4 linked regions of the Neurospora crassa OR74A genome follow. Each later gene encodes a partner of the first gene's protein in a complex. Links are inferred from orthologs where the notes say so. Each region holds a gene or a part of one and is shown on either strand. Other genes may lie near its edges. The genes, in order: arp-4, NCU00444, hat-4 and NCU06491.

Evidence for each region.
Region 2: arp-4 (region 1) and NCU00444 share a complex: the UniProt entries of both Saccharomyces cerevisiae proteins name them as parts of the chromatin-remodeling INO80 complex. The link is inferred for Neurospora crassa OR74A from reciprocal best matches to the Saccharomyces cerevisiae genes ARP4 and TAF14.
Region 3: arp-4 (region 1) and hat-4 share a complex: the UniProt entries of both Saccharomyces cerevisiae proteins name them as parts of the nuA4 histone acetyltransferase complex. The link is inferred for Neurospora crassa OR74A from reciprocal best matches to the Saccharomyces cerevisiae genes ARP4 and ESA1.
Region 4: arp-4 (region 1) and NCU06491 share a complex: the UniProt entries of both Saccharomyces cerevisiae proteins name them as parts of the SWR1 chromatin remodeling complex. The link is inferred for Neurospora crassa OR74A from reciprocal best matches to the Saccharomyces cerevisiae genes ARP4 and SWC5.

What each region holds. Positions count from the first base shown.
Region 1 is NC_026501.1:2,713,478-2,717,601, reverse strand, and holds the start of arp-4 (actin), read left to right. Parts: upstream 1-1,270; 5' UTR 1,271-1,439; coding exon 1,440-1,497; intron 1,498-1,578; coding exon 1,579-2,930; 3' UTR 2,931-3,388; coding exon of another isoform or gene 3,389-4,124. Other genes in the region: NCU16367 (hypothetical protein), read left to right, coding at 1-789; NCU02554 (golgi complex component), read right to left, coding at 3,389-4,124. UniProt on the Saccharomyces cerevisiae protein: Chromatin interaction component of the NuA4 histone acetyltransferase complex which is involved in transcriptional activation of selected genes principally by acetylation of nucleosomal histone H4 and H2A. The NuA4 complex is also involved in DNA repair.
Region 2 is NC_026503.1:3,880,376-3,884,439, reverse strand, and holds the start of NCU00444 (transcription initiation factor TFIID subunit 14), read right to left. Parts: upstream 2,851-4,064; 5' UTR 2,020-2,850; coding exon 2,008-2,019; intron 1,826-2,007; coding exon 1,642-1,825; intron 1,551-1,641; coding exon 1,158-1,550; intron 1,086-1,157; coding exon 1,018-1,085; intron 945-1,017; coding exon 921-944; 3' UTR 1-920. Other genes in the region: NCU00443 (ran-specific GTPase-activating protein 1), read right to left, coding at 3,877-4,064. UniProt on the Saccharomyces cerevisiae protein: Functions as a component of the DNA-binding general transcription factor complex TFIID, the RNA polymerase II associated general transcription factor complex TFIIF, and the chromatin-remodeling complex SWI/SNF.
Region 3 is NC_026504.1:5,717,167-5,721,307, forward strand, and holds hat-4 (histone acetyltransferase esa-1), read right to left. Parts: upstream 2,833-4,141; 5' UTR 2,690-2,832; coding exon 2,610-2,689; intron 2,534-2,609; coding exon 1,093-2,533; 3' UTR 480-1,092; downstream 1-479. Other genes in the region: NCU11146 (aminotransferase), read right to left, coding at 1-135; NCU05217 (RNA exonuclease 4), read left to right, coding at 3,314-4,141. UniProt on the Saccharomyces cerevisiae protein: Catalytic component of the NuA4 histone acetyltransferase (HAT), a multiprotein complex involved in epigenetic transcriptional activation of selected genes principally by acetylation of nucleosomal histones H4, H3, H2B, H2A and H2A variant H2A.Z.
Region 4 is NC_026503.1:1,608,140-1,611,969, reverse strand, and holds NCU06491 (SWR1-complex protein 5), read right to left. Parts: upstream 2,403-3,830; 5' UTR 1,983-2,402; coding exon 1,651-1,982; intron 1,593-1,650; coding exon 896-1,592; 3' UTR 535-895; downstream 1-534. Other genes in the region: NCU06490 (hypothetical protein), read left to right, coding at 2,740-2,834, 2,894-3,809. UniProt on the Saccharomyces cerevisiae protein: Component of the SWR1 complex which mediates the ATP-dependent exchange of histone H2A for the H2A variant HZT1 leading to transcriptional regulation of selected genes by chromatin remodeling. Involved in chromosome stability.

The sequences.
Region 1 (4,124 bases):
GCCCCTCCCTTCTACGGTCGCCCACCGACCCCTCTCCCACCCTCCCCCTCTTTAACCTCCCTGCTGCGCCCCTCGCGTCCCACTACCCCGGACGCCTCCGACGACGAGACAGTAGCCAACGGCGGCGGTGGGGGTCCAGAGGGCAGCAACGAGCCCCTCCCGCGCGCCAGCCCCCGCGTACCCACGTACGAGTACTACGGCTTCGTCCTCTACCTCTTCAGCAGCCTGTCGTTTTTGATCTACCTACTGTGGGCCTACCTGCCTTCACCGTTCCTGCATGCGTTGGGCATCTACTACTACCCCAACCGGTGGTGGTCGCTGGCCATTCCGAGTTTCCTGACAATGACGCTGGTGTACATCTACGTGGCGCTGGCGGCTTACAATACCGAGTACCTCACACTGCCGTTGGGATCGATTGAGACGATTGTGGATGAGGCGGCGCAGGTGGCGGTGGTGGATGGGAAGGGCCAAATCATTAGGCATGATAAGAAATGTGGCATCAAGGAGGAGAAGAGACAGTATGGGCATGGCTATGGACATGGGAGGCATGGGTCGACGGATAGGGAGGTGCTCTTACCTGGGGGAGGATTGAATTGGAGGGAGGTCTGGAATGAAGGGACGGATGCGGTGATGGATGTGCCACTGGCGGGAGTTTGTGAGGTTTTGTATGGAGAGGGGAGGGAGAAAGGGGTGGAGAGTGAGGAGGATGAGGAGGACTATGAAGGAAAGGGGATGTTGCATAGTCCTGGGAATGGACTGGATGGCTCGAGAGTTGGTCGATGGAGTTAACACAGGTTATGAAGGTCCTGAGACAGGATAGACACCTGATCTCTGCTGTATTGTTGTTTTGTCCATTGTGAAATATGATACCCATTTGTTCTTTTTGGGGGTGGCATAATGCTCTGGGTGAATCCGTTGTCGGTATCGTATACAGCTGAGAGTTCTACTTCCCATGGATGTCGTAACTTTGACTTCTAGGACTTCTAGCGAGTTCGTGGGCTCTGGATCAGCAACGACAGGCCAGCGACAATCTTTGAGGAGTTTAACCAAAGCTAACTGCTCATGTGCGTCTTACTTCTCTTCAAGCTTAAAAGACCTATCAACAAGTTAACAGAGCTCTTGACAGGTTCGTTGGATTGCTATTTCCATTTTCTGTCCCTGATGCCCTATTACCGTAGAGGTACGTACCGCGCCCCACTTTTATGTAGCTGGAGGAGAGCCTGTCCGGCCTTTTACTGGTATTCACGCGCGCGCGCCCCTCGTCTTTGAAGCTCCGTTGTCAAATTCCATTTGATTTCCAGTTCATCGAACTTCAACGGAACGCGACGGGACCGAGCTATTAGACGCGCAGCGCTGTTTGGAGATCCCCGCTCACACCACTTCTTGCCCTCCGATAATACACCTCAGCGATTTTCCATTATACAGCGTCGGTGCCTAACATGTCCCACCAACAACCTCTCTCGTCGTCGGTCCAGCCGACTGACATCTATGGCGGAGGTAAGCCTAGTCCAAACGCCTCTGACCAGCGACATTGCCCAAGCTTCAAGGCTTGCAATTGACGGCTGATTATTTCCTTAGATGAGGTATCCGCGCTTGTTCTCGATCCGGGCTACTGCAACACTCGCGCCGGCTATGCTGGCGAGGAAATGCCCAAGCAAGTTCTCCCTTCTTTTTACGGCCACATCAATGGGCGTGACGTATTCGGCGACGAGTATATCGTGCCAAAACCGGGCTTCGAAGTGCGCAACTACATGAACCGCGACAGCGTTGTCGAAGATTGGGATGCTGCCACCAGGATGTGGGAACATGTTCTCGTCAAGCGTTTGCAGCCCGAGCGATCAACACCTCCCAGCAAAAAGGGTATCAACATTAGTGACGATGGCGATGTGCCCATGGAAGACGATGGAAACAACAACGAGGATGCTACGGACGCGCTGGAGAAGCCACTGGCCGAGAACCCTCTTCTTATGACCGAAGCGCCGTGGAACTCGCCCAAGGCGCGCGAGAAGGCCATCGAAATCAGCATGGAGACTTGGGGCGTGCCCGCATTCTGGCTTAGCAAGACACCTGTGCTCGCAGCATTTGCGGCCGGAAAGGCCACGGCTCTGGTAATAGACGTGGGCGGTGCCAACACGAGTGTCACGGCCATCCACGACGGCATGGTCCTCAAGCGATCGATTCAAAGGTCTCCGGTGGGCGGTGTTTGGCTGAGCAGCCAGATCTGCAAGATGTGGGACGGTAGTGAGCCCAAGGTCGACGTTGTGCCGCGGTTCATGGTCGAGAGTAAGAAGCCCGTGGAGGCCGGTGCGCCTGCCGAAGCCAACCTGCGAAAGTTTAACTTCGACATCCACCCGTCCTTCCGCGCTTACGAGGAAGAGCGTGTTCTCACCGAGTTCAAGGAGTCTGTTGTCGAGGTGTGGCGTGGTCCCCAGCGGTTCACGACCCCCGGAAACGAAGATGCTGTCCGTACACAACCCGGCCGGGTCTTCGAGATGCCCGACGGCAGCAATCAGATGTGGCGTGAGCAGCGCTTCAAGGTGTCGGAGGGCATGTGGGACGAGACGGCTGCCTATAACAGCACTGACGAGGAAGGACGTGTTACTAAGGCTCAGACGATCCCGGCTCTCATCAAGGCGGCCCTCGAGGGTGTTGATGTTGATCTCCGCCCCAACATCCTCGGCAACGTTGTTGTCACGGGTAGTACAAGCTTGTTGAACGGTTTCAACGACCGTCTCAACCACGAGCTCGCGCAAATGTACCCCGGTGTGAAGATCAAGATCCATGCGGCGGGTTTGACGACCGAGAGACGCTTCGGTGCTTGGATCGGAGGAAGCATTCTCGCCAGTCTCGGAACCTTCCACCAAATGTGGATTTCGCGAAAGGAATATGATGAGAACGGCGCGGGCATTGTCGAGAAGCGCTGCAAGTAGGATTTCACTTTGTCAATTGCAGAAAAAGAAAGTTGTCGAGGCATGAAGTGGAAAACCCTCCCACGCCGCGCTATGGAAATGGCGGGAGGCTACAAAACATCGGATTCCAAGTCAGGCCACAATGGTTGATGCCTAAAGTGCTCACACATTCATGGAGTTTGTGTGGGGTGGAGTGTGGTGGTCATATAAGATGGGCATGATATTTTCTACGTCGCTAATTATCAGGCAGGTGTATGTTATGGTCGCACGATATGGCGCGGAGGCGTTCCGGAGAAATGGATTTTCAATGCTTTCAGCTTATGAAAGATACACGCCAACCATTGCCTGTATTGCCAGTTTTGACTTTAATCACGGCTAGATCCCAGAGCTTCAACTGTCTCCAAGTAGTTCATTCACCGTAAAGCTTCTACGTACAAAGTGTAATTTCTTCTAGACAATCCATAATCCTCTCATCAGTCCTACCTGTCAATGGGGCAGCTATACTCTCTCTTCGTTCCAAAACTAGCTCCTTTGGAAACCGCGCCCCCATGTTTCATCTCAAGAGCGTCCAGGCATGCTTGATGGTAGATGTGTCTGCAGGCCAGCACAACCAGAGGGCTAAGCTTCTGTTCCCGGTTTGCCACTATTGGCCCTTGCACGCCTTCATGTCCAGAAGTGTTTGCTTGCTGGTTCGGGTCGTTCATTGACTCCCCTTGCTGCTTCAATTGCGGGCTCACAGCCTTTCCCTTGCCCTTCCCCTTTCCATCTCCATTTGCATTTCCATTATACTTCTCCCCACCCTGGGGCCCGTCCGTTGCCGGCCACGCATGATCCTTGCCCTTCCCCCGTTCAGTAGTAGCACTCGCCGCCTTGTTTTTGCTCATGGTGAGTTGCTTCCTCGCCTGGCGTTGACTCTCCTCAGCAGCCTGGCGATCTTCCCACGCTTCGTAGACATTACCCGCCACACCAGGACCCCAAACTCGCCGGCCGCAGGCCTCGCAGGTGGAGCCTTTAGGACGCCAACCTCGCTGGCGGAGTTGGACGGCTTGGCTTACACTCACAAAAAGACTGCGTTCCAAAAGCCGGTTTGAGAGGCTAAGGATGGATTCTTCGTATGCGTATGCGGCGAAGATACTGGAGAGAACTGAACGGAGATCTGCAAGGTTAGGCGACGACGCCGCGGCGCGAGTGAGGAACGCACGAAGAATACGGAGG
Region 2 (4,064 bases), on another chromosome or scaffold:
ACCGCAGTAGCTCCGGATATAAGCCAAGAGCTCATGCCTGAAAAAGATGGCTATCTGGCAGGGTGCTGGCAGATCTATAGCGCTCTAGTCCAGGCACAGGAGACACGGAGACTAAGGCGAACGGACAGTTACTGCTGCTCCATACCCTGAACTGTGTAAACTAAACCATACAGCATGTTCTCTGCTTCTAATACCGCCATACGACGAGCAACGTAGAGAGACCGTGATCGAGAACTAGGTACCGCCTACAACATAACCGCTTCTCTTTCCCTTCCGAATTCCATGGGCGTGGGATCTATTACATACCTCCTTTCTACCTCTTACCCATCCTTTCCCGAACCTTTCTTTCCAATAAACAGTCTCAAATTTCCCTATGACGATCCTACCTAGAGGGGCAAACCTTGCACATGATAAGGTTCAAGGTCCGCCCAAAGCACAAACTGATTAGCGATGCCACTCCCTTCCAGTGAAGAGCAGTCCTCACGAGCAGACACCACCAATCAAGGCAACGATCCCACCGGCAGAAAGGAAACGGTTCAACGGAACACACCCTAGACCATCGAATATCACGCAAAGAAAGAAATCTGGAAGATCAAATCAAGCACAAATTTTGTCAAGAGAAGCTCTTGAATCTTTCTCAATTTTTGCTTTTTGCGTATCCCACCATAACTCCATAAACGCCACGGTAATGCAGGAGCCGAAGAAGCCTAAGGCTACAATGGCATGATGGTGAAGGTGGTTGATGTTGATGTGGATGGAAGTGTCAAGGGATCAATAATAGTGAATAAAGAGGGTGGTGGTGTACTGGGTATGGTATGGTGCGCACTGCGATCTAGTAAGGAAGAATGTTCCCGTCCCTGATGACTTCGTAAATCGATGGCCATCGACTACTGTAGGTTACTTGGACCAAGGAAGTCGTACTATGAGACTACGTTGGCTTTGACCTGTGGTAATATTAGCGATTTAGCTACAGAAGGATCCGATTGAGGGGGCAAAAGAATGGGAAGAACAACTTACCAAGAACTCCCAGAGCATCTTCATGAGGTTGTCAGGAAGAGTGTAGAGATCCACCGAGAACTCGCCCGCTATAGACATGTCCAGTCAGCCATCAGCTCGTGTTGCCTCCAGGGGCCACACTCCCTAGCGGGCAAACTTACCATCGAGGTTGTTCTGGATGTACGTATTGTCATCCTTGTGATCGTGGATCATCTGAATGACCTGCAGGAGGTCATCCTCGCCCAGCTTCGTCAAGCCATCCGCCATACGCTCGATGTCGTAGGGCCGCTTCTTCTTGGAACCGCCGTCCACCGCCTTCTTCTGCTTGCGCTCCTCGTCCGAGGGCAAGGGACCCGTCTCTCTCAGGAGCTGCTGGAGCGCCTGAGATGGGTTACGGAAGGTGACGGTATGGATGTTTTCGTACTCTGATTGCTGGAAGTTCAGGTCGTGCGCGATCGAGATCTTGCCGCCTTTCTCGGTGGTGTACATATCGATGATCATCTCAAATTCACCCCAGCCCTCGTTGGTGCATTTGAAGGGAGGATCGTTGAAAGCTGAATTTGCGACGCGTTAGCCAACCTCTGGCTCTCGAGACACAACAGAGATGGGGAGAGGTGACCGGCGGCCGCTCCGGTGTCTACTTACTCTGGATAGGGTTCGCGAACGAAGGGTGAAGGTTGTAGGTCACCTTCGTGAAGCACCTGGCGGGCCTCTCCTTGCCATCTTGGTCGAGAATATAGAGCTCGACCGTCCACTCCTTCATGGGGTAGCCCTCCTGTGCCGCCGGCTTGTTGATATTGTGTTGTTCTGTGACAACCTTGATCTTGCGCTGTAGACAAATAAACCCACGTTAGCCGTCGAATCCATTTCCCGAACAACAGCTATCCCGGAACGTTCTCCTCCTAGGGCCTTTCCTTTCCCTGCCTCTGCACCTGTTCTGTATGCCGCTACAGTGGTCACCCTGTTTGCGCAAGCTACCAACCACACTGGACTGGGAATCCGGAAACTAACCTCGACGATCATCTTGTTTGCGCCTGGAACCCGCTTCGGATTCCTTCTAGTAGCTTTGGTTCGAGTATTCTTACTAGCACTACTGGGAACGTCCGACCGATCCTCAAGGCCCTCTGCTTCCCAGAAATTGGATGGATTCCCGCGGTTAGCTTTGTGTACTTCTCTTCACTTGCTCGTGTCCTAGTACTCGAACAGCACTCTTTTGACAATCGGCGTTCGGTCGGTGTCTCGAGTACAGGACAGTAGTAAGACAGTGGCGTTCGGGCTCTTGAGGAAGAGCAAGGATTCGAGGATGTACGACGTTGTTGTATCCGTTGGGCTGTCTGGCAATGGGCTCTATAGTGTTTGGTGTGTTGTATGTGTTGGTGTGTCGCAGATTCCGTCGCGCTGCTAGAGTTGGGCTTTGTAGCGGTAGAGAATAAGGTCGTCCGTTACGGAGGGGTAAAGGTACCGCGGCGGGCCGTGGCGTGCGGTTGGGAACCAGGGATAATGATGGGGATAACGTAGCTCTAAGGTGTATAGCGTACAAATTGGGATAGGCAAAAGTTGGATGGGAACGCGATCGTGATCGTGAAGAGGGGCTAAGGTTAAGAGCGTGTCTCCTCTCTGATGGCCTTGGGTTGAAAAATGCTCAAGGGAGTGTTCAAGCAAGGCAATGTGGGAAGGTTTTTACTGAGTTATGGTGCTGATGCGACTTGGATGGTTGGGAATTTGGGTCACTGTGCAATATATGTACACTCCGATGAAGTTGGTTCAAGCGGGACATACCTTCGTCATTCGCGAACGGAGGCGTCGCGGCGCCGCCATAGTCAAAACCGTAACCATGGCTGAAGTCGACCATTGTCCCGTCGCTAGCACTCAGTGAGGTACCGCTGTGCGTGCTGTGGCTGGTGCGCTGTGATGCAGTGAGCGTCAGCTCGCTTTGCCGGCATTCCTCTACCCCTCACCGTGGATGTAAGCAAGGTGAGCTCACCTAGGTGAACGAAGATATCACCACTCTAATCGAAATATCGCGATGATCGAGAAAGCAGAAGTCTTGGAAAGAAGTTGTCAAAGACGACGGTGATGCTGAAGTAGACCCTGAAATCTTGAAGTAAATTGCTCCAAGATGTGATTTTGCGTCGTCGGGAGAAGAGTAGTGAGAGACCGCTGGCGAAGAAGAGGATCGTCGTCAGCTCGCCGTAAGGTAGTCAAGAAGAGAAGAAACCTCCAAAACCGCAAAACAACCAGATTTTTTATACGGTCGTCGCCAGACCGCGTCACGGACGACTTGGCAAACGGAATTCAGTATTTGTGTTTCTTTCAAGACAGGCTCAGGTTTCCGTCAGCTAGCCAGTCCATCAGATTCGTCTCATGTTTTGGTGGACCATCGTGCTAAGCCGTCAGCCAGGTATGACGAGGCGAGGTTGTGTGTACAAGAACTTGATCAAAAACCCCCAAAGGCAATGCATCGGTGTGAAGGGTAGTGAGTTGTTCTATCTAAAACTGTTGGTTAAGCTAAAGGTTATTTAGATCCCTTAAGAGTAATCCCCATCCTCATCCTCCTTGCCAGCCATAGTTGCAAAAGGGCCGTCGCAGTATGTTACCAGTATATTGAAATCTCGTCAAACGCACACCTGAATAGTGCTTTCATGTCGGATACTTCAACCTTTTGTTCTCGCACACGCTGCCCATGTACCAGCTCTCTAGCCTAGGAATCATCATCGTCATAACTTCTGTAGCGGTCCTTTCATTCATTCCATCGCCCAGCCCATGGAGGTAGTAATGTCATCGTCCCCTCTAACACCTAGCAAAACGGAAAATAGAACGGGGTGGTTGAAAAACTTTCCCTAAAGCAACTTCAAATTCATGCAAAACTAGACCACACATCTACTCGGCCTTCTCGTCCTCGGAATCCTCCTCAGCCTCCTTCTTCTCGGCGGCCTCCTCGGCAGCCTTGAAGAGAGCCTCGTTGTCCTTCTGGGCCTTGATAAAGGCATCCTTGAAAGCGTTGGCGTTGTCGGAGTTGGCAAAGCGGATCGCGAGGGTGACGGCCTCGGGCTCACCCTCGGAAACAT
Region 3 (4,141 bases), on another chromosome or scaffold:
GAGTGATGAAGACGTTGGAATGTTGAGTTGTTGGTGAGATGAGTGGAACCTAGATAAGGTTGGTGGTGGTTTTGGGACCATAGCTTTGTTATTAACCTGGCAGCGAGTGAATCTCAAATGCCGTGGTGAAACCATTCAGTTTATCTCAGCCTAACCCATTTGTCCGTCGTGATCGCCGTCGTGAATGATGTCGTATTGCGGGGAATCTAGGTTGCGGGGCCGGCCGGCCGGAGGTGTGGGGCTGGACGGGGCTGACGGAACACAAGCAATGGATGAGGTGACGTCTGGAGGTCTCACTACCGAATGCGGCCCGGGAGATCTCCGACGACTAGCCGGTATAACCAGTCACAAGCTTCAAATCTGCGAAAGCGGTCTGTAAGATCGGGGAATACACCCACGTTTGATGACGTCCAAAGCAGCCATGCTCTCAATAGTAAAGTCGGGAATCTTGAGCTAAACTTTCGTCAAGATTTTGTGCTGTAGCAAACAGGCTTTTTCGCTGATCATGAGTAGAGATTATGACTAGGCTCTGCTTCTCTATCCTGGTAATTATATTCCTAATCACTCGTAAAGAAATGACAAACCATTCTGGTGCTTTTGGCCGTAATAGTGATACATATGGTGTTCCTTTTTCCCCCCCTCCTGTAAGCCATTTCCCCAAGTGCCCGTCCAAAACAAAAACCAACGCCATATCATACTAACCAACCCGCTTGCTACCCATGCAATCTTGTTCTCATGACTATTACAACGAGAATAACACAGACATCCCAGCAGTAAGAGCGCTCGCTCCCCAAATATTGAATGATCCACCAAGACGACATACCACCTATTGTATCCATGACCCAATAAATCAACGAAACCATTGTAAAAATCCAACAAAGGTCAAGTGCACTTTGCGGCCATGTTAATGACCATTCTGTTTGCATACACTACTGCAAGGTTTCCAGTATCTGATCGATTCAGGAATTGATCTTCTTTTGTTGGCGTAATGCTGATGGTTTCGTTTTCTTTTAATTGGGTCATGAATCCGTGTGGTGGTGTCACGAGTGTGTCGTCTTGGTGTATCATTCAATATTTGCTGAGCGAGAGCAACTACCACCCCCATGTCCGATTAAGCGCCGTGAACACCGGTGGCTTCCACTGGATCCTCTCGGGATCAATCAGCCTCTTTTGCTTCGCTTTGCTCTTCTCCCTCTGCTTGATCAGCTTCTCCGGTACCACAATCTTGTGCTCGCCCTTGTGGTACACCTGCATCTTGAGCGCCTGCAACGTATGTTCCACATCCTGTGTCGTCATGGCCAGGGCAACAGCAATGTTCTCAATCGTGCAAGCTTCCTTTCGCTCGTTGTACCCGAGCAAGATATCGATGATGTTCTCGGACCAATACTGTCTATATGACAGCAGACCCAGATCGGACAGGGGCTTCTCGGGCGAGCCGAGCTTGCCTTCGATTTTGGACAGTTCGTACGAGAATTGGATGAGCAGGCGACCGTATCCCTTGCGTTGGTACTGCGGAAGGGTCAAGATACAGGCGACGTTGTAGCCGTCCGTAGACTCTTTTTCTTTGGAGAAGTACCCGATGATGTGGCACCCCCGGTCGTCGCGGGTGGTCATGACGTAGAACAAAAACGGGTCGACATCGTAGTAAAGGGTTTTGTGGTCGAGAAACATCTTGGACAGCAAGCAGAGGTTGCGACACCAGGTGCGCTGACGTCGCCCGTCGATTTCGAAAAAGGAGACGTAGTCGTCCCGGTAGATTTCGTTTCCGGGCGGGTGGTGTAGAGTGCACTTTTGTCGGTGACGCACAAAGGATTTCAACTCGCCGTAGTACGAGAGACAGAACTCGCAGATGTAGATGCAGTCTTCTTGGTCAAAGATCTGCGGGTAGGGCGAGAAATACCACGGGAAGAGGACGTAGCGGCCGAATTCCACCTTGGAGATATTCCGAATGCGCGAGATCTCGGTAGGGTTCTGTGTCATGGAGCCGGATGTTCGCAACTTTTCAATCTCTTGTTCCCTGGAAAAAGACGGCTGGCGTTGTTTCTTAGCGGCTGGTATTTCGTCCTCATCCATATCGATCTCGTCGGCTTTCCTCTTGACTCCCTTGTCCCCACCAACCTCCAAACTGGCGTTGACGTCGGTTCCATCTTCCGTCTTCCCCCGTTGCCTGTTATTCTTCCCTGGCTGGCTTTCGACAAACTCGGTCCATGGGTGTGGTGTCTGCCCGTCCGATGCGACTGACTGCTCCCTCTTGCTGGCCTTTTTCTGGTTGTTCTTCTTGGACGGTTGCTTCTTGGATACCGTCGAGTTGTTTTTCTTGGTCTTGGCGTCCTTCTGCTTGTCCTTGTCCGGGTTGGGCCACTCGACGTCCTGCTCGAAATCGATTCTGGCGGCCGGCACCCATTCGTCGAGACGCTTGTTGAAGTTGTCAAAGTTGCAGTAGAATTGCCGGCCGGACTTGGTGTCTTTGATACTGAGGATCTCTGCTCGTCGTAATTGGCCTTCTTTCATCACCATGGCAATACATCCCATTCTGTTTGGTGGTGTTAGTATCTGGTTTTTCAACGACGATGGGGGGTGCCGTGGACAATGATGGGACGGAAACATACTTGATGGTGTCGGGCGTCGCCTTGCCCTTCTGTCGCTTCTCGTCGGAGCCGACAGTGGCATCGCCACCTGGGGGACTCATGATGGCGGCTATGTGTGATCCAACTGTATATGATTCGGTCGATAACTTGCGATGGTTTGCGACAAGATTTGATGGTTGTGGACGATGGGCGATTGAATGCGATCAATCTGACGGGCGACGCGCGACGTCAGTCTTGAAGTGTTTTGTAGTGTTCAGCGACTCTTTCAGTGGACGCTTCCCGAACGTTTTGGAGGGGTCCTTCAGTGGCGAGCCCACGTGTTTGGGCCGTCATTTCAGCGGGGATGCAATGGGACACAGCGGCAGATCCCTGCATGGCTTGCCTACCCTGTCAATCGTCCAGGAACCGATTTCCCCAGTTGAATTTTTAAGTGAACACCAAAGTGGGGCCCATATTCAACATCCACTTTCACGTTCATACAAAAAAGTTATCACCTTCTGGAAATCTTCCGTTTGTCTCAACCTTTTGTTTACTTTCTCTCATTCCAAATAAGAATTCAGCACCAATTGGACTCCACATAACCTCGGCCGCCAATTTGTGATTGGACATACCACAAGTGATCCCTCATCGGCAGTGACACCCTCACTTGTCTGTCTTGACTCAACACTCCATCACCACCACCACCATCAAAATCACCAAGGCAGGAGACCCTCCTGTCACCAACCATGGCCCCGGAACTCTCCTCCAACTGGAAGAAGTTGCAAGAAAAGCTCAAGGCCCCTCAACCAACCAAATCAGCTCCCATCAGCCAAGAAGCCGCTTTCAAGCAAGCCATTTCCAAAAAGTCCATTTCCTCCGAAACCCTCAAGCGCAAGGCCGAGGAGAGTCAACAACAGCAACAAGCCTCCAACCCTTCCAAGAAGCCAAAAAGACAAAAGTCCCAAACCCAGTCTCAACCCAGCAGCCAAAAACCAACAGAAGAAAAAATGGGCGGCAACGTCCAATCCAAGCCCACCACCTCCTCCTCCCCAAACAGCACCCTCCCCTCCCTCCACCTCTGGGCCGACGAACAAGGCATCTCCTCTGAATCCCTCGCCGAAGCGTACAACCTTGGCCTCCGCGGCACCTCTTCTTCCTCTTCTTCTTCACACATCCCTCTCCTCTCCACCCTCCCCCCCGCCATCCCCAACGCAGGCCTCACCCTCCCCGGCCATTCTTCTTCTTCCCCTAAAAGCAACAAAAATGGCCTCCCCTTACCAACCGACCTTCCCTCATCCCTCACCCTCTCCAACGGTCTCACACTCGACACTTCCACCACCACCGACCTCGCACTAATCCTGCAAGCAACCAAGTCCAACACGCTCGGCAAATACCTCTCCATCGACTGCGAAATGGTCGGCACCGGTCCCTCGGGCGCCACCAGTGTCCTCGCTCGATGCTCCATCGTCGACTTCCACGGACACCAAATTTACGACTCGTACGTTCGCCCCACTGCTTTCGTGACCGACTGGCGCACGCATGTATCAGGCATTTCCAAGCGCCACATGGCGTCC
Region 4 (3,830 bases), on another chromosome or scaffold:
GCATCAGCTTCGACTACTGGTCGGTAAGAAGGGGGGTAAGGTAGAACCTCTCAAGCAAGTCTACCTTCAAGGTTATTTTCAGATCTCAAAAGGGCTTTTAAGGCGTGTGTACATAGGTAGAGGTACCCAACAACCTTGGATGGTTGAACTACCTGTTGAAGACAGGAAGTCAGACGTAGATAATCTTCCGTTGTTGAGTTTCTAGACATTCTCAACTTGGAGGAGAGGTCGTTGATCTAGTACTGAATCAGCGGAAACCAACCCCCCAAATAATCGAATAAGCTCCCAAGATACATTGGGAAATCATTGTGAACAAAGGACCAAAAAGCGTTGTCGTCGGCATCCACTGCCAGTGGCTAGGTACCCCAGACTGGTGTTATGGAGCCATTCAACAATAAAATCGTCCAAAAAAAAAAAAAGAAATTGGAAAAAAAAATCACTTCGACGTGGGCCTGATTCGAACAGACGCTCCCGAAGGAACAAGATTTCTAGTCTTGCGCGTTAGACCACTCCGCCACCACGCCAGTTGATGATTGGTTGATGATAACTGCATTGAGAAGTTGGGATCATGAGTCAGACAGCGTGGTGCATGGGTACAACTTGCCAAATGATTTCTGGATGAGAAATGCATGTTCCTTTGCAATGTGACCAGGAATTGCAAGGAATTGATATGTGACTGTGACCCTGAGTTCATGCAAGTCGTGTTTTGCTTGGTGTCTTCAACGCGTTGGAAAGTTCCGATATTGAAAACTGGGGTATCTCTATTTGGCGAACGTAAGAAATGAAATGGTGTTGCATAGTGCTGTCCTTCCAAACTTGTAGTGGTAAGGGAGACGCCATCCATACAACAATAATAGGCAAGCGACCAATGGATTGACTGGAGATCGTGACACGCTCACGTCTTCCCCGCCTGCGCCATCCTCGCCCTCCTCGCCTCCTCCTCCCTGCGCATCTCGCTCCTGGCCAAGAAATCCTGCCTCGCCGCAAACGAGTCCTTGGACTTGCCGGCCAGCTCGAGCTCGTCTTTGAGGCCCATCTTGTCGACCGCCACCGCCCAGTCCATCTTGCTCTTCTCGACCGTGTTGAGCTTCTTGGCCTTGTTGCCCGTGGCTTCGCGAGCCTGCAGGCGGGAGGCCATGCTCAGGTTGAGGTCGGAACGATGCGCCGAGTTGGCGTCGGTGATGGGCTCGAAGACGGACCGGAAAGCTTTTCGGGGCATGCGCTTGGCAGAGGAGGACTCGTCCTCGGCGGCTGTTTCGCCGTCCGCTGGAGCGTTCTCTCCGAGAGAGGCGAGATAGAGTTTTGCTTCGGCAGAATCGCGGGCAACGAGCTTTTCTTCAGTGTGGACTTTGCCGGCGAAGTTGTAGGTTCTCTTGATCTTTATGAGGTCGGAATCGGGATCTTTCGCCTTGGCTGTTTCTGGCTGCTGGGATGACGATTTCGCGATGTCACAGTTCGCTGGATCGGCGCTTTCGTCTGGTTTCGCTGTACTTGTTCGTGGTATGACCGGCTCGCTGATCATTTGCGCCCAAAGGGCATCGACGTCGATTGTAACAGGTCCGCTGGCGGCGGCTGTTGAACGTTTCTCCTTTCTGCCATTGTCGTTAATGCCCAGGACCCAAAGAGAAGAGGGTTGATGTGAGAACATACTCAACAGCGCGTTGGCTGCGCGTCTTGATGAGACCGCCCTCGCCAGTTTCCTCATCGTCGGCAGCAAGTTTTGTCTTTGTTTTCTTTTGACGTTTCTCCCCCTTCTTTATTATAGCTTCATCTCCAGAATTGTCATAACCAGCGTCTTCCGCCTCCTCGATGGCAGCGCGTTTCCTCTTCTCGGGTTTCGCTTTCTCGGCATCTTCACCGGCTTCTTCGTCGTCATCGTCGGATATTGATGATTCTCCCGCGGCTTCGGCAGTTTCTGGGGCGAAGTCGGAGTCTTCCTCTGACGCGTAGTCTTCTGCAAGAAGCTCTAGTGTTGGCGCCATCTTGGTATCTCGCGAATATAACAGTCTGGTCTTCCTCAAGCTATTCGCGTAAAATTCTCGTTGCCGTGTGTGTCGTCGTTCCAAGAATGGTACCTCTTCCAAGTATCGTGGGCCGGAATATTAAAGTGGAAAAGTGATGAAGGGAACAAGGACGGGATCCATGTCTTTGTCCGATCGACTGCAGCGTGACAGTGGAAACACAAACGCTCTGTTAGCAGCCAATAGGGCAGCTTGCCGTCATGTCGCCGCTGTTCGGCTCAAGCTCCCCCGCATCACGCCCACACCTTCCTTGATGTCCCGCTGAAAACGCCCCGCAACCGGGAACCTTTTTAGAGTTCCGTTACTATCATCCGATGACAAGCTGGATCTGCCCCTGACGACGGGATGTTGTCAACCACACCACTGGGACATGATGTTCAGGTTCAGAAAGGCCGCTATCACGAAAATGGAAAACTGGTGATGCCGTACTCTCCAATAAACCTGGCGATATCCAATAGGGTATTTCTGGTTAAACCAAAAACCACCCCGCCGGTTACACGTAGCCTAGGGCGCCTACGGAGCAAGGATGGATTACCTAGCTGCCTCGTGGCGCAGTGTGAGGCGGCATTCCATTCGGAGTCCGGAGTTGTCGTGACAGTCGGATTGATTAGCCTGGGTTAGTTTCTGGCGGGATCTTGAAAAGAGTATATAAGGGTAGAGATAGCTTGTCGGCCCCGTTCCAGTCTATAGCCTTGTTCTTTACGCTACTTTCTACAGGATGTGTCCCAAAGGCAACATCACACTGAACATGTCGTCGTCATCTGCTCTGAGTCTTGAAGAGAAGGAACACTTCCTCACTCATGGCTGGGTCAAGTAGGTGTCATGCCACCATACCAGCTGTTCAACCTCGTTCGAGGTACTGACCATGCCAGGATCCCGGCTGCCTTCACGCAGCAGAGAGCACAGGAAATCATCGCCAATGTTTGGACGAGACTAGGAATGGATCCAAACGACAAGTCCACCTGGAACAAAGAACGTGTCAACATGCCCTCACATATGGAGTTCGACGCTGCAGACTTTGCCCCTCGTGCCTGGGCAGCCATCAGCGAGCTTTGCGGCGGCGAGGATAAGATCGCGAACTGGTCGAAGAAGTGGAAGGACTCCCTTATCGTCAACCTGGGCACACCACAGAAAGAAGGGAAACCAGTCCCCCCGCAAAAGCTGGACAATTGGCACGTCGATGGTGACTTCTTCGTCCACTACCTTGACAGCCCGGAGCAGGGCCTGCTCGTCATTCCTCTCTTCACCGATATCATGCCCGAGGGCGGCGGGACCATGATCTGTCCGGAGGCAATCCCTATCCTCGCCAAACACCTGTACGAGCATCCCGAGGGTGTCTCGCCACGTATGGCACCCCGCAGCGATGCCGAGTTCAAGCAAGAGCAGCATCTCAACTGGTTCAACAACACGGCCAAGGGTTGCACCCAGTTTGTCGAGGCAACAGGCAAGGTCGGAGACGTGTACTTACTTCATCCGCTGATGCTGCACTCGGCCTCCAGCAACGCGAAGAGGAACGTCCGCATCATTACCAACCCGCCAGTAGCGCTGAAGCAGCCGTTCAACTTTGATAGGGAGGACGGCAACTATTCACTCGTCGAGCAGGTGACGTTGCGGGCTCTTGGAAAAGACCGCCTGGAAGGCTGGAAGATTACCAGGCCAAGAGAACAGATTGTCCCGGAGAGAGTCAGGATCCAGGAGAGGATGAAGCAGGAGGAGCTGGCGAGGTTGGAGGCTTTGAAGAAGGCGGCCGGCCCGGGAGCATCACAGGGTGTACAGGCGGCGGCATGATATTTTGCGGACGTTGTGCGT